Stegostoma tigrinum: one gene and its partner. The protein of the gene in region 1 purifies or fractionates together with the protein of each later gene. This does not show direct contact. Links are inferred from orthologs where the notes say so. Each region holds a gene or a part of one and is shown in the gene's direction. Other genes may lie near its edges. The genes, in order: mrps26 and snrnp70.

Region 1 (15,423 bases):
ATTTGGTGCAGGTTGGCCCACAATGACATTAAAAAAGGAATTCCAGGATTTTGACCCAACAACATTGAAGGAACGGCAATATATTTCCATGTCAGGATGTCAACTATTTAGAAAGGGAATTTGCAGGGGGTGATGTTCTGACTATAACTACCAGCACTGCTAACCTGCGCTGCAATGTCAGAAGGACAGTGATTTTCTCATGGCAGCTGGTGCTATTTGAATTAGAGTAATAAATTTAGAATATGTGATGGTGACCTCTGCAGCCAACTTTTAGCGATTGCTGTAAAATCCCATCGCATTCAGCAATGACGTTTAGAGAAAGAAATCTGCCATCCTTACCAAGTTTGGCAGATTTATGACTCTAGAGTCCCACAGCGAAGTAGTTGACTCTTAACTGCCCTCTGAAATGGCCCTAGGAAGCTACTCAGTTCAGGGACAATTAGAAACAAGCAACCTGATGAGGTGATGGCCTTGTGGTGTTCTTGCTAGAGTATTTTTCAGGTATTGTTCTGGGGACCTGGGTTCAAATCCCACCATGATAGATGGTGAATGAAATTTCAATTTAATTAAAATCTGGAATTAAAATGATGACCATTGTCGACTGTCAGGGAAAGCCCATCTGGTTCACTAATGCTCTTTAGGGATGGAAATGTGTCATCCTTAGCTGGTCTGGCCTACATGTGTCTCTAGGCACACAGCAATATGGTTGAATCCCAAATACCCTTAGGAATGAGCAATAAATATAGGCCTAGCCCAAATCCCATGTACAAGTGATGAAAAGACTCTCCACTTTCTCTCACTGTGCCGACAACCAATCCAAGATATCACTGCCATAAAATCTCCTGGGATTTTCCTTGCATTCGTGGTGCCACCTTGTCAATTTTTATTCACTGAAAACGTTCAGTCAGTGTCCCCAAATATAGAATCCAATTACCAATGCAAAGTCACAATTCAAAAAGAATCAAGTAATGCAACATAACAGGAAGTGTGCTAATTATTGACTGTCTTTTAATGAGGGAGGGATATGAGTCAGAGTGAACGCTGTAACTGAGAAATGTGTTGCTGTTTAGCTATAATATGCATTTGGTCACATGTAACCCATCTCCGGTTCACATAAGTCCTCCCCCTGACCTCTGCGGTTCCCTCTCCGCCTTGCCTGTTGTTTTCTGCTTGTGCCCTGTCCAGCATTAATTCCCATTCAACCGTCACCAATGCGCAAACCCATCAACATCAATCCAGCATGCTCCACCCCCACAGTGCCCACAACCCCCCATTTCACCCTCAACATGTACCTGAGCTACGAGGCAAATTGAATAGGCTGGGGTTATGCTCTGAAGAAGGGCCACTGGACCAGAAGGTTAACTCTGCTTTCTCTCCACAGATGCTGCTGAGTTTCTCGAGCAATGGTGCGGCACATTGGCGCAGTGATTAGCAATGCTGATTCAAGCCTGAGGTGACTGTCCGTGTGGAGTTTGCACATTCTCCTCGTGTCTGCGTATGTTTGTGCTGGTTTCTTCCCACAGTGCACACATATTAGGTGGGATACTGTGAATAGTGTCCAGGAATGTGCAGGCATGGTGGGTTAGCCATGTGAAATGCAGAGTCACAGGGTTGCAGGGGGATCGGACAGGTTGAGATGCTATTCAGAGGGTCAGTGTGGTCTTGATGGGCTGAATGGCCTGCTTGGGGTGATTCTATGACCTCTGTTTTTCTTTCTGATTGCCTTCATCTGCAGTTCTTTAAGCTTTTCTTTAAGATATGAGAGGGAACCTGATAGAAGTGTTGGTTATGAGTGGTATTAATCTGATGAATAGGAAGACACCTTTTCCTGTGAGCAGATGGGTCATTCCACCAGGGGGTATGGATTCAGGTGCGAGGTAAAAGGGTAGGAGGAGAGCTGAAGTTTTTTTTAAAATCAGGGGGTGTTTGGGAGTTTGGAACTCGCTCACAAATAAAAATGGTTGAGTCAGAAACTCTCACAACATTTAAGCAGTTGTTTAGATACTCACTTGTGTTCCCATAGCCACAAGGGCTTTGGGCCAAGAGCTGGAAAATGGGTTTAATGTGATAAGACCTTTGTTGAGGAGTGCCGACATGATGGGTTGAACGGCCTCAGTCTGGGCTGTAAGTGCATACAACCCTAAAAGCTTACTTATTCCGGCACAAGAGGAGGCCACTCCTGGAACGGTAACACCATTTGTTTAAGAATTTAAAGTTTGTTGAAAATAATTGGAGTGGTTATCACATGTGACAAAATGGCGACTGTGCAAATATAGCCAGTGAGCTCTTAAGACCATTAGACCATAAGACACAGGAGTGGAAGTAAGGCCATTCGGTGCATCGAGTCCACTCCACCATTTAAATCATGGCTGATGGGCATTTCAACACCACTTCCCTGCAGTCTCCCCATAGCCCCTGATTCCTTCTGAGATCAAGAATTTGTCGATCTCTGCCTTGAAAACATTTAACGTCCCGGCCTCCACTGCACTCCGTGGCAATGAATTCCACAAGCCCACCACTCTCTGGCTGAAGAAATGTCTCCACATTTCCATTTTAAATTTACCCCCTCTAATTCTAAGGCTGTGCCCACGGGTCCTAGTCTCCCTGCCTAAAGGAAACAATTTCCCAGCGTCCACCCTTTCTAAGCCATACATTATCTTGTAAGTTTCTATTAGATCACCCCTCAACCTTCTAAACTCTCATGAATACAATCCTAGGATCCTTAGCCGTTCATCATACGCTAAACCTACCATTCCAGGGATCATCCGTGTGAATCTCTGCTGGACATGCTCCAGGGCTAGTATGTCCTTCCCGAGATGTGGGGCCCAAAATTGGACACAGTATTCTAAATGGGGCCTAACTAGAGCTTTATAAAGCCTCGGAAGCACATCGCTGCTTTTATATTCCAATCCTCTTAAGATAATATTACATTCGCTTTCTTAATTACGGACTCTACCTGCAAGTTAACCTTTAGAGAATCCTGGACCAACACTCCCAGATCCCTTTGTATTTCTGTTTTACGAATTTTCTCACCGTTTAGAAAATAGTCCATGCCTGTATTCTTTTTTCCAAAGTGCAAAGCCTCACATTTACTCACATTGAATTTCATCAGCCATTTCCTGAACCACTCTCCTAAACTGTCTAAATCTTTCTGCAGCACCCCCCACCTCCTCAGTACCATCTGCCTGCCCACCTATCTTCGTATCATTGGCAAACCGCCAGAATGCCCCCAGTCACTTCATCCAGATCATTAATATATGAAGTGAACAGCTGCGGCCCGAACACTGAACCCTGTGGGACACAACTTGTCACCGGTTGCCATTCCGAAAAAGAGCCTTTTATTCCAACTGTCTGCCTTCTGTCAGACAGCCAATCCTCAATCCAAGCCAGTAGCTCACTTCGAACACCATGGGCCCTCACCTTACTCAGCAGTGTCCCGTGAGGCACCTTATTGAAGGCCTTTTGGAAGTCTAGATAGATAACATCTACTGGGTTTCCCTGGTCTAACATACTTGTTACCTCTTCAAAGAATTCTAACAGGTTTGTCAGGCACGACCTATAGGGCAGAGGCAGGAGAAGCATCTGCACCATTGGTGAAACAATGATCTGTGAGCAGGGGTAGCACCGTCAATGAGGGGTCAGAGGGTGAGGACAGGCAGAGCTGAGTGGGGGGGCACAAATGTCACATGGGGCATTGAAGAGACAGTGTGGAGGAATGCTGGCTTGCATCCGGATTTGGAGGGGGAGAAGGGTGTCTGGGAATGAAGGAACGGGAAACAGGAGCAAAGGCACAAGGTTGGTCCGAAATGTGAGTGTGGGAGTGAGGGGCAGTGGCAGGGGCATGGATGACGTGGGCTTTCACCTCCACCTGAAATGGTGTTGCAGTGCAGGGTGTTGTTGGCCTGCACTGGAAGAACGTGAGATATCAACTTCAAACAAAATTCTTTTTATTTTGTCACACCAGGTACTTGATTTTATATTCTACAGTGCCATCTCTCGACAGGCGGCTGTTCCCATCACTTGCGAACTACATCTGCTTACTTTGTGCCACCTAGAGGCGACGTTCAAAAGATACCCTACAATTGAAACATTGTGTGGAGAAATAGTGAGGAACAGTGGTCAGACCATGTGGAGACACCCCCGGTCCTGGTCTGCCGCAGAAAACCCTTGGAGAGAGACTGCAATGTGTATCTTTTTATCTCTGCTTCTTGTTTCTCTGACCTGTGGTTAGACACCGTCTAGCTGCAATGTAACTTTTCTCTTCTTTAATCCTCTAAACCGTAACTAGGCATTAGACCTCAGTACTCTGTACGTAAGATGACACTGTGAGTCAGTGACACTGTTACACTGTAATTAATCTGTCAGGAATGAAGTTCTATCTAGATACCTTTGTGAGTGGCAACTCATAAACTTCTCATTACTCATCTGAGTATATGTGACAATAAAGCTAATTCATTCATTCAAAAAAATACAAAGACATGGTGGTAATATAACAAGGTGTGGAGCTGGGCGAACACAGCAGACCAAGGAGCATCTTAGGAGCAGGAAAGCTGACGTTTTGGGCCGAGATCCTTCATGATGAAGGGTCTCGGCCCAAAACGTCAGCTTTCCTGCTCCTCTGATGCTGCTGGGCCTGCTGTGTTCATCCAGCTCTACACCTTGTTATCTCGAATTCTCCAGCATCTGCAGTTCCTATTGTCTCTGACATGCTGGTGAGGCTTTTCAACTTATATTCATTAGGATATTAACTATCAATTGGTGACCAATCAGTCCCTTCTTCCTGTCCCAGTGTAAATTGTTAGATAATAAAATGTGAGGCTGGATGAACACAGCAGGCCAAGCAGCATCTCAGGAGCACAAAAGCTGATGTTTTGGGCCTCGACCATTCATCAGAGAGGGGGATGGAGAGAGGGAACTGGAATAAATAGGGAGAGAGGGGGAGGCGGACCGAAGATGGAGAGAAAAGAAGATAGGTGGAGAGAGTATAGGTGGGGAGGTAGGGAGGGGATAAGTCAGTCCAGGGAAGACGGACAGGTCAAGGAGGTGGGATGAGGTTAGTAGGTAGATGGGGGTGCGGCTTGGGGTGGGAGGTTAGGGAGGCAGAGACAGGTTGGACTGGTTATGGGAGGCAGAGGGTGGGGGGAAAGAGCTGGGCTGGTTGTGTGGTGCAGTGGGGGGAGGGGACGAACTGGGCTGGTTTAGGGATGCAGTAGGGGAAGGGGAGATTTTGAAACTGGTGAAGTCCACATTGATACCATTAGGCTGCAGGGTTCCCAGGCGGAATATGAGTTGCTGTTCCTGCAACCTTCGGGTGGCATCATTGTGGCACTGCAGGAGGCCCATGATGGACATGTCATCTAAAGAATGGGAGGGGGAGTGGAAATGGTTTGCGACTGGGAGGTGCAGTTGTTTGTTGCGAACTGAGCGGAGGTGTTCTGCAAAGCAGTCTCCAAGCCTCTGCTTGGTTTCCCCAATGTAGAGGAAGCCACACCGGGTACAATGGATGCAGTATACCACATTGGCAGATGTGCAGGTGAACCTCTGCTTAATGTGGAATGTCATCTTGGGGCCTGGGATAGGGGTGAGGGGGGGGGGGTGCGGGGGCAAGTGTAGCATTTCCTGCGGTTGCAGGGGAAGGTGCCGGGTGTGGTGGGGTTGGAGGGCAGTGTGGAGCGAACAAGGGAGTCACGGAGAGAGTGGTCTCTCCAGAAAGCCGACAGGGGTGGGGATGGAATAATGTCTAGGGTGGTGGGGTCGGATTGTAGATGGCGGAAGTGTCGGAGGATGATGCGTTGTATCCGGAGGTTGGTGGGGTGGTGTGTGAGAACGAGGGGGATCCTCTTTGGGCGGTTGTGGCGGGGGCGGAGTGTGAGGGACGTGTTGCAGGAAATACGGGAGACACGGTTGAGGGGGTTCTCGATCACTGTGGGGGGAAAGTTGCGGTCCTTAAAGAACTCGGACATCTGGGATGTGCGGGAGTGGAATGTCTTGTCGTGGGAGCAGATGCGGCGGAGGCGGAGGAATTGGGAATAGGGGATGGAATTTTTGCAGGAGGGTGGGTGGGAGGAGGTGTATTCTAGGTAGCTGTGGGAGTCGGTGGGCTTGAAATGGACATCAGTTACAAGCTGGTTGCCTGAGATGGAGACTGAGAGGTCCAGGAAGGTGAGGGATGTGCTGGAGATGGCCCAGGTGAACTGAAGGTTGGGGTGGAAGGTGTTGGTGAAGTGGATGAACTGTTTGAGCTCCTCTGGGGAGCAAGAGGCGGCGCCGATACAGTCATCAATGTACCGGAGGAAGAGGTGGGGGTTGGGGCCTGTGTAGGTGCGGAAGAGGGACTGTTCCACGTAACCTACAAAGAGGCAGGCATAGCTGGGGCCCATGGCCACCCCCTTAGTCTGTAGGAAGTGGGAGGAGTCAAAAGAGAAGTTGTTGAGTGTGAGGACAAGTTCGGCGGATGAGGGTGTTGGTGGAGGGGGACTGGTCGGGCCTGCGGGACAGGAAGAAGCGGAGGGCCTTGAGGCCATCTCCATGCGGAATACAGGTGTACAGGGACTGGACGTCCATGGTGAATATGAGGTGTTGGGGGCCAGGGAATTGGAAGTCCTGGAGGAGGTGGAGGGCGTGGATGGTGTCATGGACGTAGGTGGGGAGTTCCTGGACCAAAGTGGAGAAAATGGAGCCCAGATAGGTGGAGATGAGTTCGGTGGGGCAGGAGCAGGCTGAGACGATGGGTCGACCAGGGCAGGCAGGTTTGTGGATTTTGGGAAGGAGATAGACCGCGTCTCCCCTATTTCCCGCAACACGTCCCTCACACCCCGCCCCCGCCACAACCACCTTTCTACAGTTTGCTCTGGAGAAGCATGCAACTCTAATTTGAAAATTCATGTCCACGAGGTGTTACTTTCAGAAGAATGTTTGCTGGCTGGCAGACTGCCTGAAGTGGTTAAAGTGAAAGGGGCTTTTGTTCCCTTCCTGCATGTCCCAGAAAAGTGGGGAAAAATAGGAATTGCAGCTTTAAGACCTTTGGCCGGCGGAAGTACTCGCGGTTTCCGGTAAGATGGCGGCGCCCATGTGAGAGGCGGTGATCGCCTGTCTCGGTGCCGGCGGCTGACTCTCCCCGTCCCCAGGTACAAGGTCCGCGGGACGATGTGGGCTCAGTGCCGGCCCCTCCTGCTCGGCCGCTGTCGGCCCGCCCTCAGGATCCCCTTCCGGGGCCGCAAGTCCCGCAACGACCCGCCCGCCAAATCCAAGGCTGATCGGCTGCGGGTCCCGACACCGGTGGATCCGGCGGAGCTGCTGGTGGTGAAGGAGCGGTACCGGCAACACGTGGCTCTGATCGGGGCCCTCAGGTCAGTGCCGGGGGAGGGGGCGGTGTGGTGTGTGGGGAACGTCGGGCTGCGCACGTGTTGAGGAGAGCCCAGAGTGACGTGGAGGAGAGGGGGGTGGGGAGAGTCCTGAGCGATGGGGGTTGGGGGGTGGGAGAGGGGGATGGAGGAGATGGGGATGGGGAGAGCCCTGAGCGATGTGGGGGTGTGGGGGATGGAGATGGGGATGGGGAGAGCCCTGAGCGATGGGGGGGGGGTGTGGGGGATGGAGGATGGAGGAGATGGGGATGGGGAGAGCCCTGAGCGATGTGGGGGTGTGGGGGATGGAGATGGGGATGGGGAGAGCCCTGAGCGATGGGGGGGGGGGTGTGGGGGATGGAGGATGGAGGAGATGGGGATGGGGAGAGCCCTGAGCGATGGGGGGGTGTGGAGGATGGAGGAGATGGGGATGGGGAGAGCCCTGAGCGATTGGGGGGGGGGTGTGGGGGATGGAGGATGGAGGAGATGGGGATGGGGAGAGCCCTGAGCGATGGGGGTTGGGGGGTGGGAGAGGGGGATGGAGGAGATGGGGATGGGGAGAGCCCTGAGCGATGGGGGGGTGTGGGGGTGGAGGATGGAGGAGATGGGGATGGGGAGAGCCCTGAGCGATGGGGGTTGGGGGTGGGAGAGGGGGATGGAGGAGATGGGGATGGGGAGAGCCCTGAGCGATGAGGGGGGGGGGGGGGGATGGAGGATGATGGGGATGGGGAGAGCCCTGAGCGATGGGGGGGATGGAGGATGATGGGGATGGGGAGAGCCCTGAGCGATGGGGGGGATGGAGGATGATGGGGATGGGGAGAGCCCTGAGCAATGGGGGGTGGGCTTGGGGAGAGCCCTCGGGTAATAGATGGGGGTCGGGGTGTGGAGAGAGCCCTGAGTGATGGGGGGGGAGGGGGGCGCGGATAAGGCTGTAGGGAGAGCCCTGAGTGATGGGGGGACATTTTGGAGGACAGCCCATCAGTAATAGACAGTGGGTGAGAGACACCTATCTTAATAAAGAGGTGGGGAGGCCGACTACTGATTGAGAGTGAAGAGCCTGTCAATAATGGACAGAAACACGAGCCCAGAACCAGGGCTCGCAGTCTCAAAGTAAGGCCTTTTTAGAGATGAGGAGGAATTTCTTCACCCAGACAGTGTTGAGCCCGTGGAATTCTTTGCTACAGGAAATTGTTGAGACCAAAGCTCTGGAGACTTTCAAGAGGTGCAGACCAAGTTTTTTTTAAGACTGGTATGTCAATGATGCGGAGCTGATGGTGTTGGGCTGGTCTATTATAGTCCTTTGTCAGGTGTTAATGTGGCTCTGAAAGTTTGTGTTTCCAAATAAACCTGTTGGGCTACAACCTGGTGTTGTGTGAATTCTGACCTTGAAAGTATCAAGGATATGGGGAGAAATAGGGAACCGGGTATGAAGTTGGATGTTCAGCCATGATTGTATTGAATGGCAGAGCAGGTTTGAAGGGCACAATGGTCTATACATGCTCCTATTTTCTATGTGCCAAAAGCATAATCGTTCTTGTCAAGAAGAAAGTTCCACGTACTCAATTGCATTAATGTGTGAACTTGTAATGGTCAGATCATCTGTTTCTTGAGGACAAAAGCTGGTCATAACCCAAGGAGTTTCCTTGCTGTACTTTGTAATAGACCTGTGGGATCTTTAAAAGCTACCTGTGGAGGCAGATAGAGCCTTGCTCTCAGTTCTCACTTTAAACATAGCCCCTGCAACAGTGCAGCACTCCTTCAGCGTTGCATCTGTAGTGTCAGTACAGATTTTCTTCTTGTGTCTTTGAAGTGGGGCTGTGAACCCACACTTTCTGAACAAAGAGTGCTACCCAGTCAGTCACCATGAGTGCTGATCGTTCCGTATATCAGGGAACTGGAAGTTGCAGGACTGGGCTTAAGCCTCTGATACCTGCTGGTGGGTTTGAAATTGTATTGTCTGTCCACACCCAAAAGATGAAGTGAGCAGAATTTGATCTTGTTTCTCTTCAACCTCTGGAATGGAAGGGCTGAGTTTAAGGAGGAAATGCTACGCAAGCGTTATGAAGAGGAAGTGGGCTCTCTGGCCGAGGAACGAGCACAGTTAGAAGCTGAAGAACATCAGAAGCTCATGGCTTTCAACAATTTGGAGAATGAACGACTCCGAAAAATACGGTGAGTCAAACATCTTTTAATACAACAACAAGCATGGGATGCTGGAGAAACTCAGCAGCATCTGTGGGGAGAGAAACAGAGTTAATATTTTGAGTATGGTATGACTTCTTCTAGACTCTGAGTTACAAAATTGTCAGCCTGCTTAGTTGTCAAACAGAGGCCTCGGGGTTCAGATACATGGTTCTTTGAAAGTTGCATCACACGTCGACAGGGTGGTTAAGAAGACACTTAGCACACTTGGCTTTGTTGCTCAGACCCATTGAGTGTAAGAGTTGGGATGTCATGTTGAGGTTATACAGGATGTTGGTGAGACCACTTTTGGAGTGACGTGTGCAGTCCTGTTCGCCTTATTATAGAAAGACTATTATTAAACTGGAGAGGGTTCAGAAAATATTTACCAGGATCTTGCAGGAATTGGAGGGAAAGGCTGGGGCTCTTGATCATTGGAGCGCTGGAGGTTAAGAGCTGACATTATTGAAGTTTGTAAAATAATGAGTGCATTGATTGAATAGAAAAAGTATTTTTCCTAGGATGGGGGATTTCGAAACTAGGGGGTATATTTTTAAGGTGCGGTGAAAGATTTAAGAGGGACCCGAGGGACAACGTTTTGACCGAGTGTGGTTTGTATCTGGAATAAACTGCCAGAAGAAGTGGTAGATACAGGTCCAGCTAGAATATTGAAAAGACCTTTGGACAGGTCCATGAGTAGGAAACGTTTAGAGGGATGTGGGCCAAACACAGGTAAATGGGACCAGTTTAGTTTGGCAAACTCGATGTGGACAAGTAGGACTGAAGTGTCAGTCTCCATGCAGTATGACTGTGACGTCCAGAATTGAATGAGCAGAAATCCTTAAACGCTGAGAAGACTGAAGCCATTTTTTGGGTCCCTGTTTCCGATCTCTTTTCATTTAACTTCAGACTTGTTTCAGCAACATCTGAGATTAACCCAGTCTGTTCATGGTCTTGATGTCACATTTGATCTTTAATGTGAGCTTCCAAGCTCTCGCTTGTGGCATTTGAAATGCTATCTATTTCCACATCTGTAACATCACTCAACCTCGCCTGTCTCGTACGTTTACTGCTGAAATCGTGCCTTCATTACCTCTCGACTAGGCTTGACTGTTCCAGCTCGCTTTGAGTTAGTCTTTCACATTCCACCTCTGAGGTTATCCAAAACTGAGCTCTGAAGAGTCATACTGGACTTGAAACGTTAACTCTGTTTCTCTCTTCGCAGATGCTGCCAGACCTGCTGAGTTTCTCCAGTATAGGGAAACAACTGGGAAAGCTCTGAATAAGAGAATTCATCTCAAAGTGGAGAGGCAAGGTTTGGTGGTCAGGGATAGTTGACATGGCTTTGTCAGAGTGAGATCATACCTTTTAAAAATTGACTGAATTCTTTAAGGAGGTGACCAGGTGTGTCGATGAGGGTGGTGCAGTTGATGTAGTTTATGTGGATTTCTGAAAAGCCTTTGTGAAGATCCCACATAGGAGCCTGATAAAGAAGATAAAAGCATGTGGGATTCACGGTAACTTGGGAAAATTAGATCCACATTGGCTTAGTGGTAAGAGTCAGAAGGTGTTGTCACTGTTCGTGTGAGTGGAGCCCAGTGTGCAGTGACATACCCCAGGGATCAATGCTGGGCCCCTTAATGTTTGTGTACTTACAAATGATGTAGGTGAGAAGGAAGGGCAGTGATTAGCAAGTTGAAAGATTGGTCAGGTGGTTAGTGAGGAAGAAGGCCTTAGGCTACAGGAAGATAGAGATGGATTGGTCAGTTGAGCAGACCATAACAGATGGAATTTAACCCTGATAAGTGTGAAGCAATGCACTTTGGAAGATGGAACTGGACAATGGAGCACTCAATGAATGACAGGACGCTAGGAAGCTCAGGAACAGGGGATCTCTGGATGCTTGCCTACATGTTCCTGAAGGTGACACACCAGGTTTATAGGGTCATTAAGACCCTATAAAGGACACTCTCGCCTTTAATCAATGATAACATTGATTATAAGAGCCGGGAAGTCATGTTGGAGCTTTACAAACCTTTGGTTCAGCTACAGTTGGAGTACTGTGTACAGTTCTGGTCATCACACAATGGGAAGGATGTGATTGCACTGGAGGGCTGCAGAGGTAATTTGCGAGGATGTTACTTGGGATGAGAGGCTGGATAAACTTGAGTTGTTTTCTTTAGAGTAGAGAAGGCTGAGAGGGGATCTGATAGAGGTATGTAGGATTATGAGCAGTGTGGATAGGAAGCAGCTTTTCCCCTTCGTTGAAAGGTCAGTAACAAGGGGGTATAATTTTAATGTGAAAGGCAGGATGTTGAGAGGGGATTTGCAGAAAATCATTTTTATCCAGAGAATGCTGTGGGTTTGGAATGCACTGCCTAGGAAGGCAATTGAGGTGGGAAACTTCACAACTGTTACAAAATACGTGGATGAGCACTTGAAAAGTCATAACATTCAAGATTTTTGGCCAAGTGCTGGAAGGTGGGAAGAGTGTAGGTAGGTTGCTGCAGACTTGATGAGCTGAAAGGCCTCTACTGTGCCCTATAACTCTCAGATTTCCAGCATTCACAGTATTTGGCCATCATCCAATACTCTGTGGCCTGTGTCGTAACGCACACCACACTCCATTCCCCTGTCACCTTGTGCTTATTGAGCTATAAATGGTTCTTGGTCAAGCAGGACATACAATCCTGCCATTGTGGGAGCAGGCCATGTGGCCTGTTGAGTCCACACTGACCCTCCAAAGAGCACCCCACCCAGATCCACGCCCCTACTCTATTCCTGTAAACATGCATTTCCCACAACTAATCCACTTAGCCTATCCATCTTTGGACTGTAGGAGAAAACCCACGCAGACACTGGGAGAATGTGCAAACTCCACCCAGACAGTTGACCGAGGGCTGAATGGAACCCGGGTTTCTGGTGCTGTGAGGCAGCTGTGCTAACCACTGAGCCACCATGTCGTCCCAATGTCTTGATTTTAAAATTTCCCTCCACGGCCTTAGCCCTCCCAATCGCTGTCATCTTCAGACAGCCTATCATCCATCATACCTGCAGATCTCTAATACTGGTCTCCATGCATTCCCAACTTTAATCACTCCACTATTGGTGCCTGTCTTGAGTTACCTATGTCCCAAACACTCTGTCTATCTGTTGTTATTCTCGTTGAAGGCAATTCCTGATATCTACCTCCTTTGAGCAAGCATTTGGCCCTAATATACCTTGTGTAGCTCAGCATCATACTTTCTTTTATAATGCCCTCGGGAAGGGCTTGGAACAGTTCGTCATGTTAAAAGCACTAGAAAGAAGGGTCTAGGCCTGAAACGTCAGCTTTCTTGCTTCTCTGATGTTGCTTGGCCTGCTGTGTTCATCCAGCTCTACACCTTGTTATCTCAGATAAATATAAGTTGTTGAGTCTCACACTTCACTGAGCCATATTATATCACAGCTACCTTATTCCAGTGAAATTTACAGCAGAGAAATGGGCCATCAGTCCAACTAATCTATACCATAAATCTCTCCCTCAATTTATCATCTCATCCTATTGGTCAGCCCATTCATTCTATTTTGTGATTATCTGGTTTCCCTTTAATACATGCTACTTATCTTAACTGCTCCACGGCAGCACGGTGGCTCAGTGTTTAGCACTGCTGCTTCACAGAGCCAGAGACCCGGGTTTGATTCCACCCTCAGGCGACTGTCTGTCTGTGTGGAGTTTCCACATTCTCCCCGTGTCTGTGTGGGTTTCCTCCGGGTGCTCTGGTTACCTCCCACAGTCCGTGGATGTGCCATGCCCATGGAATGTGCAGGATTATAGGGCAGGGGGATGGGTCTGGATGGGATGATGATCAGAGGGGCAGTGGGCCAAATGGCCTGGTTCCTCACTGTGTAGAGATTCTAGCTGTTAGTATGTTCAGTGATCTCCCTGATCTCTTTGTAAAGAGGTTTCTGCTGAATTCCTGTTTTGATTTCTTTGCGATTGCCTTAGACTGATGGTCTCGAATTGTGCTGTCTCCCACGAGTAGAAAAGCAACTCCCTGTGTCTACTGTTTTAAAAATCCATAAGGTTGGTGATTGAGGAGTGTGAAATCACAGTGTTTCATGTTACCCCACGGTAGTGAATGGGCATGGTATTAAAATCTTTATTTGTTTTTGTTTTAAATTGCGAGAAAGGGCAAATCGATGAGGGAAAGTAACACCCAGATATGTTTAAATTAATGCCTTTTGTATTTGGGTTTGTACGGCAGTGAGGAGCGACTACAAAGAGAGGCAGAAGAGGAGCAGGAGCAGAAACTCCAAGCAGCCATCACCAGAGAAAAAAAACAGAGTGAATTCCTTAAGGAGAAGGAACAGGAAGTACTGCAGCTTCAGGTATACAGTGAGCATGGGCGCAACGTATAGCTTCATTGTCACAACTCCAAATGTTACACATCCAGTGTAATCTTCCCATCGTGCTGTCCCCACCGGACACTCTCAGGGCAGGGGCAGCACAGGGTTAGATAGAGAACAAAGCTCCCTCTTCACTATCCCCATCAGATACTCCCAGGACAGAGACAGTAGTGGATTAGAGTACAGCTCTTTCTGCAGTGTCTCCATCGAACACTGCCAGAACAGGGACAGCACTGGGTTGGATAAAAAATAAAGCTCCCTCTACACTATCCCTATCAAACTCCCCCAGAACTGGTATGGTGTGAGATTAGATAGGGTAAAGCTCCCTTTACAATTGCATCAAATAATTGCAAGGTAGGTAAAACATGTTCGATACAGAATAAAACATTCTCTGTTGTTTCATCAAACTCTCCTCAAACAGGGGGAAGTGTGAAATAAGCATTCTAGCCATTTGGCTATTGCACTTTACATTGTCTAACCTTGACTGAGTTGCAAATTCTTATGCACAGTTTATCTTCCCAGCATTCTCACATACGTTTTCAAGTTAAGGGGAAGCTGAGAGACAAGAAAATCTTTTTATCCATACAAACTCTGCTGGATTTAAACTGTGCTCCCAGATAGATTGTACCAAAGAAATGGATTTCTCATTTGCCATTGAAAGTGTACTTGTGTTAATTAATCATTGATGGTGCGGTTGTGATATCATTAATAATCATTAAAGATATATCAAAATATCACTCCAGTTTCTCCCCACACAGCTGCTTTGCCAATTAGTCCAGCATTGTGGAAGCTCCCTGCTGCTTTATGGTTCTGTTTTCCAGTGTTAAGGTCATTACAACCTACATTACGTTATCCCCTCAACATAGAAAAGCATCACAAGGAACTTCTGCAGGAACATTGTTGGATAAATAATGAAGATATTGCATTACAAATGGAAACACAAGAACAAGGAACCTAATGCCCGGTCAAATATTTAGGAGGGAAGAAAAGTTTGGGGAAGTAATTCCAGAGCTTGTGTCCTGAGAACTAAAATGACTGGTGCAAAGGAGATGGGGAAAGCACAAGAGGTCAGAGCTGTACAGCCGTGGAGCCCATGGAAGATGGTTACGGTTCCAGAAGTGCTGCTACTGGAGCATACTGGTTGAGATCTGAAATAAAAACAGAAGACTCTAAAAATACTCAGCAAATCTGCGGAGAGAGAAGCAGAGCAGTTTATGACCTTACATCAAAACGCCATGGATGCTGCAATGAGCTGGAGTCGCAGAGCTGTACAGCGCAGAAACATGCTCTTTGGTCCAACTTGTCCATCTCGACCAGAAATCCTTGATTAATCCAGTCCAATTTTGCCAGCATTTGGCCCTTATCCTTCAAAAACCTTCCTATTCACATACCCAAGCAGATGCCTTTTAATTGTACCTACCTCACCACCACCTCTGTCAGCTCAATCTATGCACACACCACACTGTGTGGAAAAAGTTGCCCCTTGGGCCCCTCTTAAGTATTTCCCCTC
Region 2 (16,576 bases), on another chromosome or scaffold:
TCATTCACAGTGACACTGAGTCACCAACACGTTGGTTTGAGTCAAATCCAACAACTTGAAACAAATATATATAATTTGACATTTCAGTGCAGTATTGAGGGAGTGCTGCACTGTTTGAGGTGAGATCCTGTCTGGTCTCCAGTGGACACAGAAGATCCTATGTCACTGGAAGAAATGGGTAGTGCTTCCTGATGTTCTGTCCAATACTTATCCTTCAACCACAAAAGAAAACTGGTCAGTATCTCTTTGCAATATTTTTGGGTGCAAATTGTTGCTGTCACTCCTACGATTCAACAGAAGCTGCATTTTGAAGAACAGGTCATGAGTTGTGAAGTATTTGGGGTCATGCTGAAGTTGGAAGGCAATATGTAAATATAATTGTTTAAACATTTCCATGAGAACTAACATGCCTGGGCACTTTTGAAAAACCTTTTGAGTTATGTGAACTTAATGCATTCAGGCCTTTTTTAATGTCTTGGAATAAATGTAAACGTTCCCATCGGCAATCAGAACATATTTAATTATGATTAAGGAGGCCAGGAACAGTGCTTTGGATATTTATGCGCAATACTCCCTTCTAATGAGTGGTGTGCAGCCAAGAATTGGAACCTGTTCTGCTGATTCTCATCTTTAAACTTGAACACTTCAATTGTTGTGATCACACCATCATAAATGTATTGTAAAACATAACTGTTCATTTCGAGCAGCTTTTTCCAACTGACCAGCCACAATGGTTTCAGACTACTGTATTTCTAATTACACGCTGTATCAAAGGGTTGAACATATCATAGAGGTTTGCGTCCTCTGCCTACAGACTAAATTGATACCCACACATTAAGTAGCCTGTTAGAGTTAAGTAAGATTCTTTGATCTGCTTGTTGGCAGCTTTTTCTCCCTCTACTTGGAATACCACAAAACGCAGCTACTAATCTTTGCATAGCGAGGACAAAATCTGTTCAATGATTTATTGATTTTTTGTTTTGGGCAACCGGGGTTTTGCCTGAAACTCTTTAATGGAATGTGTTGTGAACACTTATATCTATAATCTATATTTTTAAATATCATTTCAAATTGTAGAACTTTATCAAATGTTGATCACATTGAATGTTTGCAGTAAGCCTCCAAGGAACTGTAAGCTTCCAAGGGAAATTGACTGTATAGAACTGATGCGTCAACTACTTAAGCTGGCAAAGAAAGTTCCTATTAGGACTCACATTTGTAAAATCTCCTGCAGCTTTCTTTTTGAGGCTGCAGGAGGTTGGCGCACTTCATTGTAAAAGTGCCATTATTGACCCAGAGTGTTCCCGATTTGATGCCTGGGCCCCCTCAGGGACTGTTGCTGAGCTATAATCATTCCATATTATTGGTTTGGCTTTCCTGCTCTGCACCTGGAAGGGCTTTTTCTTGGTGGAGAATGCTCGGTGATTGTGTGGAACAATTCTGACTTAGTTCTGCACGGAGTGATGATTCCACTGCCAAATTTAGCTGATGACCAAGACTTGTACTGGGAGAGGTAGGGAAAGAAATGATCACCTGATGCCAGGAAAAACAATCACGGTTTCATCAGATTTGAAGGAGTGCCTTGGCGTTATGCCGCAACTTGGTTAATTTTGAAGTACTCGTGTTTAGAATTTTTTATTTTTCAATATAAAATGTGAAGTGTATAGTGAGTGGCGGCATGTGTCGGCAGGAGTCTTAATTATGTATCAATGGCTCAGTTTGTCACTATGATGAATTTGCTGTTCCCTCTTCAAGCCCAGCTTGGACCTATCTTCTGGCCAGACTCTCTCAGTGGGCATGGTTGTTGTGTGCTGTTTGAAAACTGTGCCATGAGTGGTGACCTGAATAGATGTATGTGGATTTTTAAAAAAAAACTGAAATCTGCATTGTTGCAGTGTGCAATACACATGGGACTTTGCACAAAAAATGTACTTTATTTGTTACAGCAGCAAAGCTGCATTGCTTTAAGCACAAAATATACTGTTGCCACCTCCTTGTGTAACTTATATGTAATTAAAAGGCAACAGACAATGTTTATTAAAGTGTAAATTGCATTTTAAAGTTGGATAATGTTGCATTGCCTCTTAATTTTCTTAAAAAATACTGTTCCAAATGAATGCGATAGGTTTACAGTGATTCTTGTGGCACACGTACTTTTTCAGAAAGCACAAAATTCATATTGTTAATTGCCAGTTTGTCCATGGTCTTGGTTTTAATTTTCAGTTTATTATAATATGCTGCATTTATTCAATGTTTTGCAAATGTATTAAAACATCTAGGAATTTGAGTGCACAATCTGAAGTCCCATCTGCCCTCTTGGATGAGTGTGTGAGAGAGACCAGCACCATTTCAAAAATGAGCAGGGACCTCTACCTGGTTTTCTCGTTGAGGCACCTTAACCAATACCGCTACAGTAAACAGTTAACTGTTCATTACCTGCAGATGCTGGAGAATCCAAGATAACGAAGTGTGAAGCTGGATGAACACAGCAGGCCAAGCGGCATCTCAGGAGCACAAAAGCTGATGTTTCGGGCCTAGACCCTTCTTCAGAGAGGGGGATGGGGAGAGGGTTCTGAAATAAATAGGGAGAGACGGGGAGACAGACCGAAGATGGATAGAGGAGAAGATAGGTGGAGAGGAGAATATAGGTGGGGAGGGGATAGGTCAGTCCAGGGAGGATGGATAGGTCAAGAAGGCGGGATGAGGTTGGTAGGTGGGAATTGGAGATGCAAGGCTTGGGGACTGCTTTGCAGAACACCTCCGCTCAGTTCGCAGTAAACAACTGCACCTCCCAGTCGCAAACCATTTTAACTCCCCCTCCCATTCCTCAGATGACATGTCCATCATGGGCCTCTTGCAGTGCCACAATGATGCCACCCGAAGGTTGCAGGAACAGCAACTCATATTCCGCTTGGGAACCCTGCAGCCCAATGGTATCAATGTGGACTTCACAAGCTTCAAAATCTCCCCCTCCCCCACTGCATCCCAAAACCAGCCCAGCTCGTCCCCTCCCCCCACTGCATCACAAAACCAGCCCAGCTCGTCCCCGCCTCCCTAACCTGTTCTTCCTCTCACCTATCCCCTGCTCCCACCTCAAGCCACACCTCCATTTCCCAGCTACCAACCTCATCCCGCCTCCTTGACCTGTCCGTCCTCCCTGGACTGACCTATCCCCTCCCCACCCATACTCTCCTCTCCACCTATCTTCTCTTCTATCCATCTTCGGTCCGCCTCCCCCTCTCTCCCTATTTATTTCAGAACCCTCTCCCCATCCCCCTCTCTGATGAAGGGTCTCAGGCCGAAACGTCAGCTTACGTGCTCCTGACATGCTGCTTGGCCTGCTGTGTTCGTCCAGCTTCACACTTTGTTAACTGCTCATTTCCTTGCTGTTTGAGGGAGCTTGCTGTGTCTAAATTGACTGCTGTATCTCCTACTTCACAGCGTTCAGAAATATCTCATTACCTGTAAAGGACTTTTTGATGGGTAGTGTTATAGAATGTTATGGATATGTTATTTTCTCCTTTTTACTTGAGCTTGCTGACCTTCGTGAATTTATTACATAATGTGAGTGGTCTAGAGGACCTCCCCAATTGACAAGCACAAATCCCTTGCCATTCCAATCCACATTTTTCCTTCCTTCTGTTGGATTAATTTCCATTAGTGTTCAGTCCAGTTACTGGGATGAGCAGAAAAACTGTTCAATCAGTTGCTTGACCACAAGTTATAGCATATTATCTTTACGCCAAAGTGACCTGTTGTTGAGAAACTGGCATTTTCTTCTTCTCGGTGCTTTCTTATGCAGAATGGAGAAATGGTAATGATGCGTTGGAGTTTTACAGATGTATCACAAAAATTACTTGTCTTTGATAGAATGTTTCTATCTTTATAGGTATCCTTTCCCTTTTAGGAAAGATTGAAAGGTGCACAACCAGTATTAAAGATGTTAAAATGCTTTCACTTGTGCGGTAGCTGGCCACTCATTTTGAAAGCTTAACAAACTGCATTGCTTTAGTTCAAAGGATTGTCTTGTATATTGAAAATCTTGATTTCCTCATAGAGAGGTGTGATATATTTGTGGAGTAAAGGTGCATAAAAGGGAAGTCATTCAGCCCATCATGCATTTGCTAGCTCTTCTGACAGCTGTTGTTGATTCCATACATCACCCATTGCTTGCCAATCATTCCCCTTTCAAGACGTTTTCCAATTCACTTTTGATAGTTGTTGTATCTGGTTCCATTGACCTTTTTCAGACTGACTTTGTGGAAATGTTTACTTTCCCATATTGATTCTGACTGTTAAACACAAAAGGTAGGAGGATAAAGCCATTTTGCCTTTAGACCCTGCTCCACCATTCAATATGATTGTGGTGGATCATCCAGTTCAGTCCCTGTTCCTGTTTTGTCCCCATTCCCGTTGACACCTCTTAGGCCTGAGAACTATATCTAACTCACTGAAATCATTCAGTATTTTTGGCCTCAGCCACTTTCTGTGGCAGAGAATTCCATAGACTTGCAACTCTGGGTGAAGACATTTCTCTTCATCTCAGTCCTAAATAACTTATCCTATGTCCTTAGAATGTGATCCCTGGTTTGGACTCTGGTCCATGATCCCTGCTCATTGCAAATATTCTGTTTTGTTTTTCCTGTCTAGTCCTGTTAAAAGTTTATAGGTTTGTATGAGATTTTCCCTCGTCATTATTCTAGACTTCAGTGAATACAGTCTTAACTGATCTCCTCACTTAATACATCGGTCATACCATCCCAGGAATCAGAATAGTAAACCTCTGCACTCCTTCCATAGCCAGAACACCCATCATCTGGTGAGGAGGCCAAAACTCTGCTAATTGTTGCAATCATTCTCTACCACATCCTGCACCCTATGATCTCCTAAATAGTCCCCCACTGATGTTTGTTCTACTTGGCCTACTGCATTCCCATGGACCAGGTCCAACAATGCATGTGGTTGGACTGTGTACAGGTAAGTGCTGAAGGAAACTCTCCTGAACACGATCTAGGTACACCCTTGCCTGTCACTGTTTCTTATGCTACCAGTATATCAGTCTCTATTTGCAAAATGAAGACCACCCCATTATTAATTTGTAATGTTTGTAATGGGCCAGACCAGATCCCTTCTTAAAAAATGTTTAGAAGGTAGCCTAGACTCCTAACTTTTTCTTATTTTGAAGGTAAATAACAGGTACTGTGGTCCAGATGAAATTTGACTTGTCAAACCACTCAATGTTGAGTAAAATACATTATTTTTTCAAACCCTATAGTTAAAAGTACAAAAAAGAAAGAAGACCTTGGAATAACTTGACTCTCAGAAACATTAACCAAATAATAGGTACAGTAACTCTTACTAATTACCTGTTCTAATATAGTAACATCCCATAAATACATTTTTGGCAAAATGCAAATTCAGAAAACAGATTCTGTCTCGCATGCAGTCCAGCAGCTTCTAAAGAGAACTCCCAGATTTTGGCTGCAATCTAGAGATTGGGTGGGGAAACTAGTTTCTACTTCTTCAAGCCCACAACAGCAATTGCTGCTAAAAATCCCTGGAGAGCTTCACCACACTCACTCAGGCTGCTTTGATCTTTGCAACTAATTTTCTAAAAAGAACCCTAAGGTCTCAAGTTGTTTATTTTCTCAATACTCTTCACCTGTTACCCCAAAAAATAAGGACAAAAACACACCTCTTAAAGCCACAGCATTGTCACAGTTGTCATTTCTCTGTAATTTGCCTGAAGTTGCTTCTAGCAAACAGTTTTTCCAAAATATTCCAGGTGTGGTCTTACCTGTCACACTCACTTAAACCTATAGTATCCCAGTCTAAATTTGTGTAATTGAAGTTCCCCCGCGCCCATTATTGCTATAAATTATGCCATTTTACTGTAATTTCCCTGAATTTGTTTCTAGTGAATGGTTTTTCAAAAAGTTATAATAGCCTTTTTTTACTTTTAATAAAAAAAGCTCCACAGACCGTTGAAGGTGGAATTTTTATTTTTGCTCTTCCTCCACTTTTTGCCAATTAACTTTGCTAAGCATAGTTCAGAACAACTGGTCTTTTCTGAGGCAGTGCACAGGGTTAGTTTAGACCAAATGCAGACTTTCTGGTGGAAAAAACAGTAACGTAGCACCTTTTTTTAGTATAGTGATATGTCTTGAGGCACGATATAGGAACATGATTAGATGAAATATGGCATTGAATCATCTAGTACCGATTAAAGATAGGAGGAGAAATTTTAAGCAGAAAAGTTTGTCAGAAGTAGTGTGGTGGAGAGATTTAGGAAGGGAGTTCCAGAGCTACGTAGATGAAGGCATACTGCTACTAATGGAACAAAGTTAGAGATGCGTTGGAGGGGTGCAGAGATTTTGGAGCATTGCAGGGCTACAGGAGGAATTGAAAGATGAGGATAAGACTGTTTTACAATACAGTCGGAGGTTAGTGGTCTTGTGGTGCAGCGGTAGTGTCCTTATCTTTTGAGCCAAAAATGTCCAAGTTGAAAGTCCCACCTGTCCCAGATGTGTAATATAGCCTGTCTAAAGAGGTTGCTTAAAATACATATCGTTACAGGTGAGAGGATAATTAGACAGGTGCCCCTGAGATTGCATTTTTAAGTCATAAATGCAGTCTTTATATTTGTGTATACTATAGTATTTTGGTTTTATAATTATATAGCAAAGAGCACAGTAAGTTGAGACGTGGAGTTAGTTGGATCACAGGAACTTCGCAAACAACCAAACTAAACAGATGTGAAGGTGAAGCAGTTGGTGCCATCGCTAGAGGAAGAGGGAAATTACAGTGTCAGAAGAACTCTGAAGATTCATCTAGACTCAACTTTAGGTTACCTTCCCTCCGTGGATGCTGCCTGAGCTGCTGCAATTTGCAGCATTTTTTGTTTTCAGCAAGTTATGGTGTGACTTGTTTACATAGGATGTTTTTATTTCAAATGAGGATGTGGAGATTATTAATGGAGATGATGATAATTATGATAACAGAATAAGGTTTAATGTGCAAAATGGGATGCAATGTTTCAATCAGATATTCATAGGTCATAGCTCCAAATCTTCCATACACTATATTAATGGATTCAATGGAAACCTTGCAGAACAGCCATACTAAAGGTCATTGTGATATTGGAGACATGTGCCAGTAGGAATTCACATGTACTAACACATGTTACAAAGCCTGAAGAAATGTGCAGTTGTACCAGTTAGAATTTTGTTAAACTCATGCTGGGTGGTTTCTTAAACGGGACAGGATGAGGCTTAACTTTGTATTTACAAAGTCCACAAAGGAGAGAAAGACTAATTGGCTTAAAAAAATTGCTAATGCATAAACACTAGATTGATCCTGAGTATGGAAGGACCCTTTTCTGAGGAGAGGTACTGTACTTTATTGGAGTTTAGAAAAATGAGAAATGATCATATTGAAACATACAAGCTCCATGGAGGAGCAGACAGGATAGATGCTGCAAGTTTGTTTTCTGCCCCCCGCCCTTGTGGGAAAGTCTAGGATTTGAGACAGAGGTGAGGAATAATTTCTTCTCTTGAAAGATAGTTTCTTCTGTGGAACCCCTTATCGCAGAAGACTATAGAGGATAGGTTGTTCAGTATCTTCAAGGTTGAGGTGGACACATTTAATTGGTAAGGGAATCAAACTTCATGTGGAAAGGTCAGGAAAGAGGACTTGATATTATCAGAACATGTGATCTTACTGGAAGGAACAGACTCAATTGGCTGAATAGCCTACTTCTGCTCCCAGCAACTTTGAGTGAACTATAACACTTCAGTATTTTAGGTTTTATTTCCAAATTTTGTTATGCTCAATGAAGTGATATGCCCCAGTCTGAGTTTGATCTTCCTAATGCATAGGGAGCCACAGCAACCATGGGCAGAGGTGCATGTTGTACAAGGGACACTAGGTGATGTTGCAGTGCTGCTCTTCACTAGGCATAAACAAGATCAGAATTAAAGAGAGACAGGGAAAACACAAGTACAGCCCTGGTCTAGCTGTGTGAATGTTAGAGACATGCAAATAAATGCTTGAAGTAGGCCAACTAGCATTCGAACAGTAGAATTCACAAGAGATAATGGGAACTGCAGATGCTGGAGAATCCAAGAGAATAAAGTGTGAAGCTGGATGAACACAGCAGGCCAAGCAGCATCTCAGAAGCACAAAAGCTGACGTTTCGTAAGGGTCTAGGCCCAAAACATCAGCTTTTGTGCTCCTGAGATGCTGCTTGGCCTGCTGTGTTCATCCCAGCTCTACACCTTATTATCTAGAATTCACAAGAGTTTTCTCCCTGGGCATAAAATGAGGAGCATAGGTAGGGAAGATAGGCAGAATTTTTCCCCCTTGAAGGGAGCAATGACCAGGAGGCTTGGATTTAAGATAAGAGGCAAGAAGTTTGGAGGGGATGTGAGGGAAAATCTTTCTCGTTCAGAAGATGTTGGAAACCTGGAATTCACTACCTGTAAGGATAATACAGGCAGAAACTTTTGTTAACATTTAAAAAGCATTTAGCTGTGCACTTATATGCTTTGGTATTACAAGACGACAGGCCAAGTACTGGAAAATGGGATTAGAAGAGTTTAGGTGGGGCTTTTGACTTGTGCAGATGCAAAGGGCTAAAGGGTCTTTTTCTGTCCTATCAATCTCAATGGCATTAAACAGATTCAAAGATAATGGGAACTGCAGATGCTGGAGAATCCAAGATAATAAAGTGTGAAGCTGGATGAACACAGCAGGCCAAGCAGCATCTCAGGAGCACAAAAGCTGACGTTTCGGGCCTAGACCCTTCATCAATGAGACTTAAAGGTTTTGGGTAGTTTCATCCTTTGCAGAGATTCGATCAATAGTTTGTGCCCAACCGAGTCGAACGCTTTCGCTAGATCGACAAAGACAACTGCGAGGTCCTTACGATTGTGCTTTGCTCCCTTGATGATGTTTTCGAGGACAACAATGTTTTCATTGCATCCAGGAGTGGCTGCTAGAAACCCTTTTTGCCTGGGGTTTATTTCGACTGTTTCACTCGGGCGTTTTGCCATTATTTTCGTGAACAGCCGGAGCAGTATTGGACCGATGGTTATTGGTCGCCAGTTATCAATGCTTTTCAAGCATTCCTTATCCTCGCACTTAGGAATCAGGACCATTCGACTCTTTTTTAGTGAATCGGGGATCATGCTTGACTTTAGCCATAAGGAGAAGAGGCGGGGTAGATGAGTTTCCTCCTGCTCATGGAGTCTTCTTATGTCTTGCAGTTTCAGGCCATCTGGTCCAGCGGCACTGTTCTCGTCTATCCCCTTGATGGCCGCTTCAACTTCCTCTACCTCTATGGGTTTCATCAAGGACCCGTCATCGACTTTGCCAGTGTATGGGGCATACTTATTTATGTTCGATTTCTTGTTTGGTGCAGACAGTTTCTCACGGAAACATGTCTCCAAATCCTCTTTTGAGAGAGGACAAGCGGATGAGGTTGGCGCCCCCATGATCTCACGAGCTAGTTGACGCCGGTTGGTTTTGTAAAGCCGCTGTGTTGCTCTAAACAGCGCTTTTCGTGCTGCCCACCGTTTTCTGGCTCCGGTATTGCTACCGGGCTTTTTGTCTTTCTTGGCCTGATCTTTTTGAGGCCTCTTGTTTTTGTTCTGTCTTTTCCTGCTATTCATTAGTAGGTCGGTAATACTTTCCACTAGTCCAATTCCGAGGGCAAGCGTGTCCGGGTCGTTCCTTGCGCTCAAGAGCTCCTCAGCTTGTGTAAGCTGGTCATCTACGTCCCGATGTTTAGGGATCGAAGCCGGTGTTTTTCGGCTGGCTCTATGAAGGGTCTAGGCCCGAAACATCAGCTTTTGTGCTCCTGAGATGCTGCTTGGCCTGCTGTGTTCATCCAGCTTCACACTTTATTATCTTAAACAGATTCAAGCCTGTTTTTCCCCCTCTCTAGTAGAGTATTTAGCCTTTACATGCAATAAAGTGTTTATATGCAAGCCCAAGTCTGAAGACAGTTTATGACCTTGCCTTCTCAGTCCCTCATGAGCCACAACTCACGTTTGAGTTCAAAACCACATAACAAAACTGTCCTAATATAAAAATTTAAATGCTACAAACATCTTGCACAGGTCATGCAGAGTAATATAACCGATCATTCCAGATGTTAGGAGACCCTTCACCAGCACTGACATTGAGGGGATACTGTCCCTTTAACTGCAGGAGAGCCGGGCAAAGGGTGGGGTGGGGAAAATGGCTGTCACTCAATCTATCCACCCAATTGACATGGTATAGTAAAGATGACAGGCCTTTGTACCAATAGAGGTGTGGCATATGGGCGGGAGCACTGTCCACCCATGTCCTAGCCAATCGGCGTGCGGAAGAGGGGTGGGGCCTAGCGAAACAGCAGCCATTCTAGGGAGGGTAGAGGCGGGTCCTCCTCGGCGCGTGATCCCGCCCACCGCCCTGGAGTGATCGTTATTTTGAAATAAAGGGTAGGTGGTGTTCTGCCACCATGTAAATAGTGCCTAAGGGAGAATGGAGAAAAACAGAGTAAGGTAAAGTCTTATTGAGAGAGAAATGGACTAAGGTATAAAATCACATTGAGTAGCATTATTATCAATGGTTGGAATTGTATTTTACGATGCATTTTCCAAAGCAGGGGACGCCCAATGATACGGAGGGAATGTGAAGAGGCACGGCGGCCATTTTGTGTTTTCCTCGCTGTCGGCGCGCGTGAGGCCTGGTGGCGTTGTTTAAGCTAGTTAGAGTAACAAGTTAGCGAGTTATTCCCCCCTCCCTCCTCAACCTCACAGGCCGAGTAACCCAGAGGGGGAGAGAGAGGGGACAGCGGGGTTTTGATCCCGGCTCCCGCCATGACTCAGTTCCTGCCGCCGAACCTGCTGGCGCTGTTCGCGCCGCGGGACCCGGTGCCGTACCTGCCGCCGCTGGAGAAGCTGCCGCATGAGAAACACCACAACCAGCCGTACTCAGGCATCGCCGGCTTCGTCCGGGAGTTCGAGGTCAGCGCCGCAGCTGTGGGGGAGGGAATAAACCTGGGGTGACGGACAGGGGTTAAAGGGCCCGGGGGGGTGGGGGGGCCTGGAGAGTGGTGCTGATAGAGTTACTGGGGAAGGGGAACTGGGGAGCTGGTAGTGATGGAGTGACTGGAGAGAGGAGGGATCTTGGGGTGACGGGGGAGGGTGCTGACTGGGCAAGGGGAATGGTGGGGAGGGGTGTGACTGCATGGGGACTGGCAGAGGAGAGGGTGCTGGGGGAGGGTGGGAACTGAAGGGAGGGGGAGCCCGTATGGGGAGAGTTGGGATAAAGAGTCGTAACAGGGTGGAGAGAAAGAGAAGTGGTAATCAGGAAAGGCAACTAAAACGGGTGGTTGATACAGTTGAGCAGTGGGTGAAGGGGGGGAGAAAGGAGTAACAGACAGATGTGGAGTTGGGGGAAAGGAAAGACAGTGGGGTAATTGGGAGGCTAAATTGGTTAAGGAGTGGTCATGTGGGGAAAACTGCAGAGGGGGGAGTGGAGGGTAGGGGATTGATCTGGGGGTGGGTGCAAGAATAGGGTATTGGGTGGGGGGAATGGTGAGGAGGTGTTTGGAGGCTGGTGGGGAAGAGGGGTGGATGGAGAATGTGAGATGGGGGAAATGGGCTGGTGAGAATTGTCAGAGGGGATGGGGAAGGTGGGAATTCATGATAGGGAACTAATAAGGACTGAGGGAGGAGGAAAGGAATTGAGCAGATGATTCAAAATGGGGAATGAGCTATGTAGAGTAGGGAAGTGTGAGTAAAGAGCAAGAGCTGTGTTGATATGAAAGATATTGTGTAGGAGGGAACAGTAGTGGAGAAGGTAGCCAGATATGTAAAGGAGGGGTCTTGTGGTAGTGTGAGGAGAAGGGTATTAAAGGTCTGTTTGGGCCAGTGGATAAGGATGTTAATGACTGGTCAAGTGTAATTGAGGTGAGTGGGGCCTTTTGGAACAAGGCAAGTTCTGGGAGAATGAGAAGTTTGGCTTGTGTCCAGTTAGGGGCGTGTATTGAGAATTGGTATTGACGGTGACATAGTTTTGGGATATGGGTTAAGACCTGGTGGATGGGCAGAAGATGAAGTGGACCACAGTACATGTTGTACAATCATGTTGTGGGGTTTGGAGGCGCAACGGTTGTATTTATGGAGTTTATGCTTGTGACTGTTTTTCAGAGAAACTTAACGCTCAACCTTGATTTAGCCCTTTAATCCGTATATACTCCCATTTCTTCCTTTTCACTGTTCATTCTTATTCTTCAGAGTCAGTCTGTTAAGAATCTGGTTTTCTTGAATTTTCTGTTAGCTTTTCCATTCTGTTATGTTCTTTCACTTTCGGATTTATGTCTGGTATCGTCCTGTTCCTGTCTCATTATTACAGTTGCACATGTTCATTCATTATGTTCTGAAACCTAAATTCCTTGTTACCAAGAAACCAGATATTGACATCTTGATCAAAATCAAAATCCTGCAGGTGCTTGGAATTTGAAATAAGGTCTGTCGGCATCTCTTATGGGAAGAATCTTTCATACTGTTGATATATTTAATATTGTTTGAATACTTTTATACCCATAATTCAATTCCACATGAAGGTTGCACCTGAAAGAAGCTTATGCTTGCATCTGAACAGCCGTTTTTCAGTGCATTCATACCACATTTTCAAGCATAACTGGCCTCTATCCAGGAAAAGTGATGATCAAGGAGCCACTTGGAATTGCTAGAATGGAATATAGCAAGTGTAACTTCTGAATTTTTGATCACAGCTTCTTTTTCTGCTATGTAGGATCCTAGAGATGCCCCGCCACCAACAAGAGCTGAGACACGGGAGGAGCGAATGGAAAGAAAGGTAAGAAATTTAGGCCAAATGTACATCCTAGGGTTAAATGTGTTAGGAAAGGCTAGACATTAGAAAATACCTGGAATTATTTGAAGGTCTCCGCGACTATTTTCTGTAGGTTTGTGGACCCACATTCCTTTCAGCTGTTTGTTGATCTGGCCATCATTTCTGTGGGTGCTTGCGTGACCTGTAAGTGTATTCAGTCCATTTGATTTTATTACAGGGTCTTCATCAAGCCTGATTATGTTCCTAAGAATTGTGTACACATCTGCTTATCAGCAGTAGTCTCTATAGACTTCTGCCTCCTGTTACTTGTTTCTACCAATGAAACCACCTAAATTGTTAGAAAGTAGGCATTCAGCTTTTTATGCCTTTTCCACCAGTTATTTCCCTCAACAACACTTTTTTTGCCTGCTGAAATATTCAGTGACTTCCCTTGGTAGGCAAGAATCTCTCTTTAAAAAGTATTCAATGACTCCTCATCTACCGTTCTGAGGAAAAGAGTTCCACTGACTTGCGACGCTTCAGGAGGAGAAAAGATTCTCATCTTTATTGTAAGTTGGAGACCTCTTCCCTTTAAACTGGCCCTAAATCACTTTGTCACAGGCATTCAACCTTTCAGAGTCCATCCTGAAAAACATCTGGGGAGGTGATGGCCTAGTGATATTATTACTAGACTATTGATCCAGAAACCCAGCTAATGTTCTGGGGGACCCGGGTTTGAATCCCACCAAGGCAACCTGGCTGATTACCGTCCCACCGGTCTACTCTCAGATATCAATAAAGTGATGGAAAGTGTTATCAACAGTACTATGAAGCAGCACCTGCTCAGTGATGTCCAGTTTGGGTTCTGTCAGGGCCACTCAGCTCCTGATTTCATTACAGCCTTGGTTCAAACATGGAGAAAAGAACTGCATTCCAGAGGTGACAATGACGGCCCTTGACATCAAAGCTGCATCCAAATGAGTGTGGCATCAAGGAGCCCTAGCAAAACTGGAATCGTTGCGTATTGGGGGCAAACTTTCCAGTGTTTGGAGTCATACTTGACACATAGGAAGATGGTCATGGCTGTTGGAGGTCAGTCATCTCAATCCAGGACACCTGCAGGAGTTCCTCAGGGTAGTGTCCTTGGCCCAACCATCTTCAGCTGCTTCATCATTCACCTTCCCTCCATTTGTAGGGTCAGAAGTGAGGCTGTTTGTCAACGATAGCGTGATGTTCAGCACTATTCATGACTCCTCAGATATTAAAGCAGCCAGTGTTCAAATGCAACAAGCTTGGACAATATCCAGGCTTGGGCTGACAAGTAACAAATGTTATCCATGCCCCACAAATGTCAGGCTATGCCCATCACCAATAAGAGACAATCTAACCAAACCCTTTGACATTCAATCATATTACTATCACTGAATTCCCCCAGCATCAACATGCTGGGGGTTATCATTGACCAGAAACTTAACTGGACTCACTACGTTAACGCAGTAGCTACAAGTGCAGATCAGAAGCTAGGAATACTGTAGTGAGTAACTCCCTTCCTGACCCCTCAAACCCCGTCCACCGTCTACAAGGCACAAGTCAGGAGTGTGATGGAATACTCCCCACTTGCCTGGATGAATTCAGCCCCAAAAACACTGGAAGCTTGACATCACCCCGGACAAAGCAGCTCGCTTGATTGGAACTACATCCATAAGCATCCACCACCAACTGTCAGGAGTAGTGTGTACTGTGTGTTTGTGGGGCGGTATGGTGGCTCAGTGGTTAGCGCTGCAGCCTCACAGTGCCAGGGACCTGGCTTCAATTCAGCCTCCGGCGACTGTGTGGAGTTTGCACATCCTCCCCGTGTCTGCGTGGATTTCCTCCGGGTGCTACGGTTTCTTCCCACAATCCAAAGATGTGCAGTCTAGGTGGATTTGCCATGCTAAATTGCCTGTAGTGTTCAGGGGTGTGTGGGTTATAGGGGGATGTGTCTGGGTGGGATTCTTCAAGGGGCGGTGTGGACTTGTTGGGCTAAAGGGCCTGTTTCCACACTGTAGGTAATCTAATCTAAATCTAATCTAATCAACAAGATGCATTACAGAAATTCGCCAGAGATCATCAGACAGCACCTTCCAAACCCACGACCATTTCCATCCAGGAGGACAAGGGCTGCATATAGGAACACTACCACCTCTAAGTTCCTGTCCAAGCCACTCACCATCCTGACTTGGAACTATTTCACTGTCACTGAGTAAAAATCCTGGAATTCCCTCCCTAATGATGTTGTGAGTCACCCTACAGCTGGTGGACTGCAACGGTTCGAGAAGGCAGCTCATCACTACTTTCTCAAGGGCAACGAGGGATGGGCAAGAAATGCTCGGCGGCCAGTGACTCCCTCATCCCACAAATGAATAGAAAAATCATTTGGAATCTGTGTTTCAATAGGATGACCCCCCCCGCCCCCGCCTCAGCCTCATTTTTCTCAAACATCTGAAGATACAGGTCCAGTTTGTTTTTTCCAGCCTTTCCTATTAAGATAAACCTAGCCCCCAAATCTCTGGAATCAATTGGGTTAATCCTCTGTTGTTCTACACCACTGTTAATTCAAAATACGATAGAGAAAATTTAACCAACTGTGTATGTAAATGGTTCATTTAGTTGCTTCCTCATTGGCTATTGGGGAGCTAATGACTGACCTTATTATACATTTTACCAAACCTGGTTGCAGACCAAATTATATTCTACTTCCAGAATGCATATGGATTAGCCAGTGACACTGCTGACTTTCTCCTGTATGGTGGCAGACATTGTGATTTTCCTTTTACAGAGGCGTGAGAAGATTGAGAGAAGACAGCAGGAAGTTGAAAATGAGCTGAAAATGTGTAAGTTTATTGGAGGGTGTGTGGAAAATAATGGAGGCTGATGAACTGTACAATGTCAATGGGTATTAAACTCCGGATTGGATAGGATCAAGCTCTCTGTCATCTACCGTCGGGCTGTTTGAAGTGGGCCCATTAATTAGACGTTAAAGACAGCTGTCTGTTCACCCCTGGAAATGAATACTAATTTCTATGCCTCATTCTCCACACTGCCTTGCATAAAGCAAAATGTGCAGTAGCTGATTTGCACAGCTACTTTAGCTAAGTACTAGTGGCTATGACAACGAACATTTTTGTTTTCATGCATTATGTGTGGCCCTAAAATACCACAGGAATGTGATTAATTTGGTTTGGTCATAAGATACTTGAACAGATGACTAATAGGTTGGTTAAAGGGGTGCCCTTCAGGTGCGGGGGAGGGATGAAGGTGTATTGGTTCAGGAGGGAATTCCAGAGTGTTTGAATTGTAAACAGTAATTGTGAACTTTAACACTGCAGCATTAAAGTTGCTCTTTTTCTGATCTGCAGGGGATCCCCATAATGATCCAAATGCACAGGGTGATGCATTCAAGACACTGTTTGTTGCCAGGGTGGTAAGTTTGAGGTTATTTTTTCCCTTTTGTTTTTAAAGGAAAAACAAATGCATTGAAAAATGGGCTGCAATTCAATCGGTGGCTAGTACTGTCACTTTTTACCCATAATGGACGATATATAACTGAGATGTCTCATGTCATGAAGTTTGTGATCATTACTATTCCTTGGATGTTGTTTACGTCAAGTACCAGCAAAGGAAGAATCAAAATATTTCATTTGGTGGGGTGGTGTGGTGATGAATCCACTTGCATGTTATTGTGAGGTAA

Evidence for each region.
Region 2: the proteins of mrps26 (region 1) and snrnp70 purify together in Homo sapiens (affinity purification with mass spectrometry; 3 studies listed by BioGRID and IntAct, counting the BioPlex papers as one, with this or other methods). This does not show direct contact. The link is inferred for Stegostoma tigrinum from reciprocal best matches to the Homo sapiens genes MRPS26 and SNRNP70.

Annotation. Positions count from the first base shown.
Region 1 is NC_081354.1:182,485,678-182,501,100, forward strand, and holds the start of mrps26 (28S ribosomal protein S26, mitochondrial), read left to right. Parts: upstream 1-7,045; 5' UTR 7,046-7,146; coding exon 7,147-7,349; intron 7,350-9,368; coding exon 9,369-9,515; intron 9,516-13,771; coding exon 13,772-13,895; intron 13,896-15,423.
Region 2 is NC_081391.1:18,612,694-18,629,269, reverse strand, and holds the start of snrnp70 (U1 small nuclear ribonucleoprotein 70 kDa), read left to right. Parts: upstream 1-10,684; 5' UTR 10,685-10,865; coding exon 10,866-11,012; intron 11,013-12,807; coding exon 12,808-12,870; intron 12,871-15,664; coding exon 15,665-15,719; intron 15,720-16,244; coding exon 16,245-16,309; intron 16,310-16,576. UniProt on the Homo sapiens protein: Component of the spliceosomal U1 snRNP, which is essential for recognition of the pre-mRNA 5' splice-site and the subsequent assembly of the spliceosome. SNRNP70 binds to the loop I region of U1-snRNA.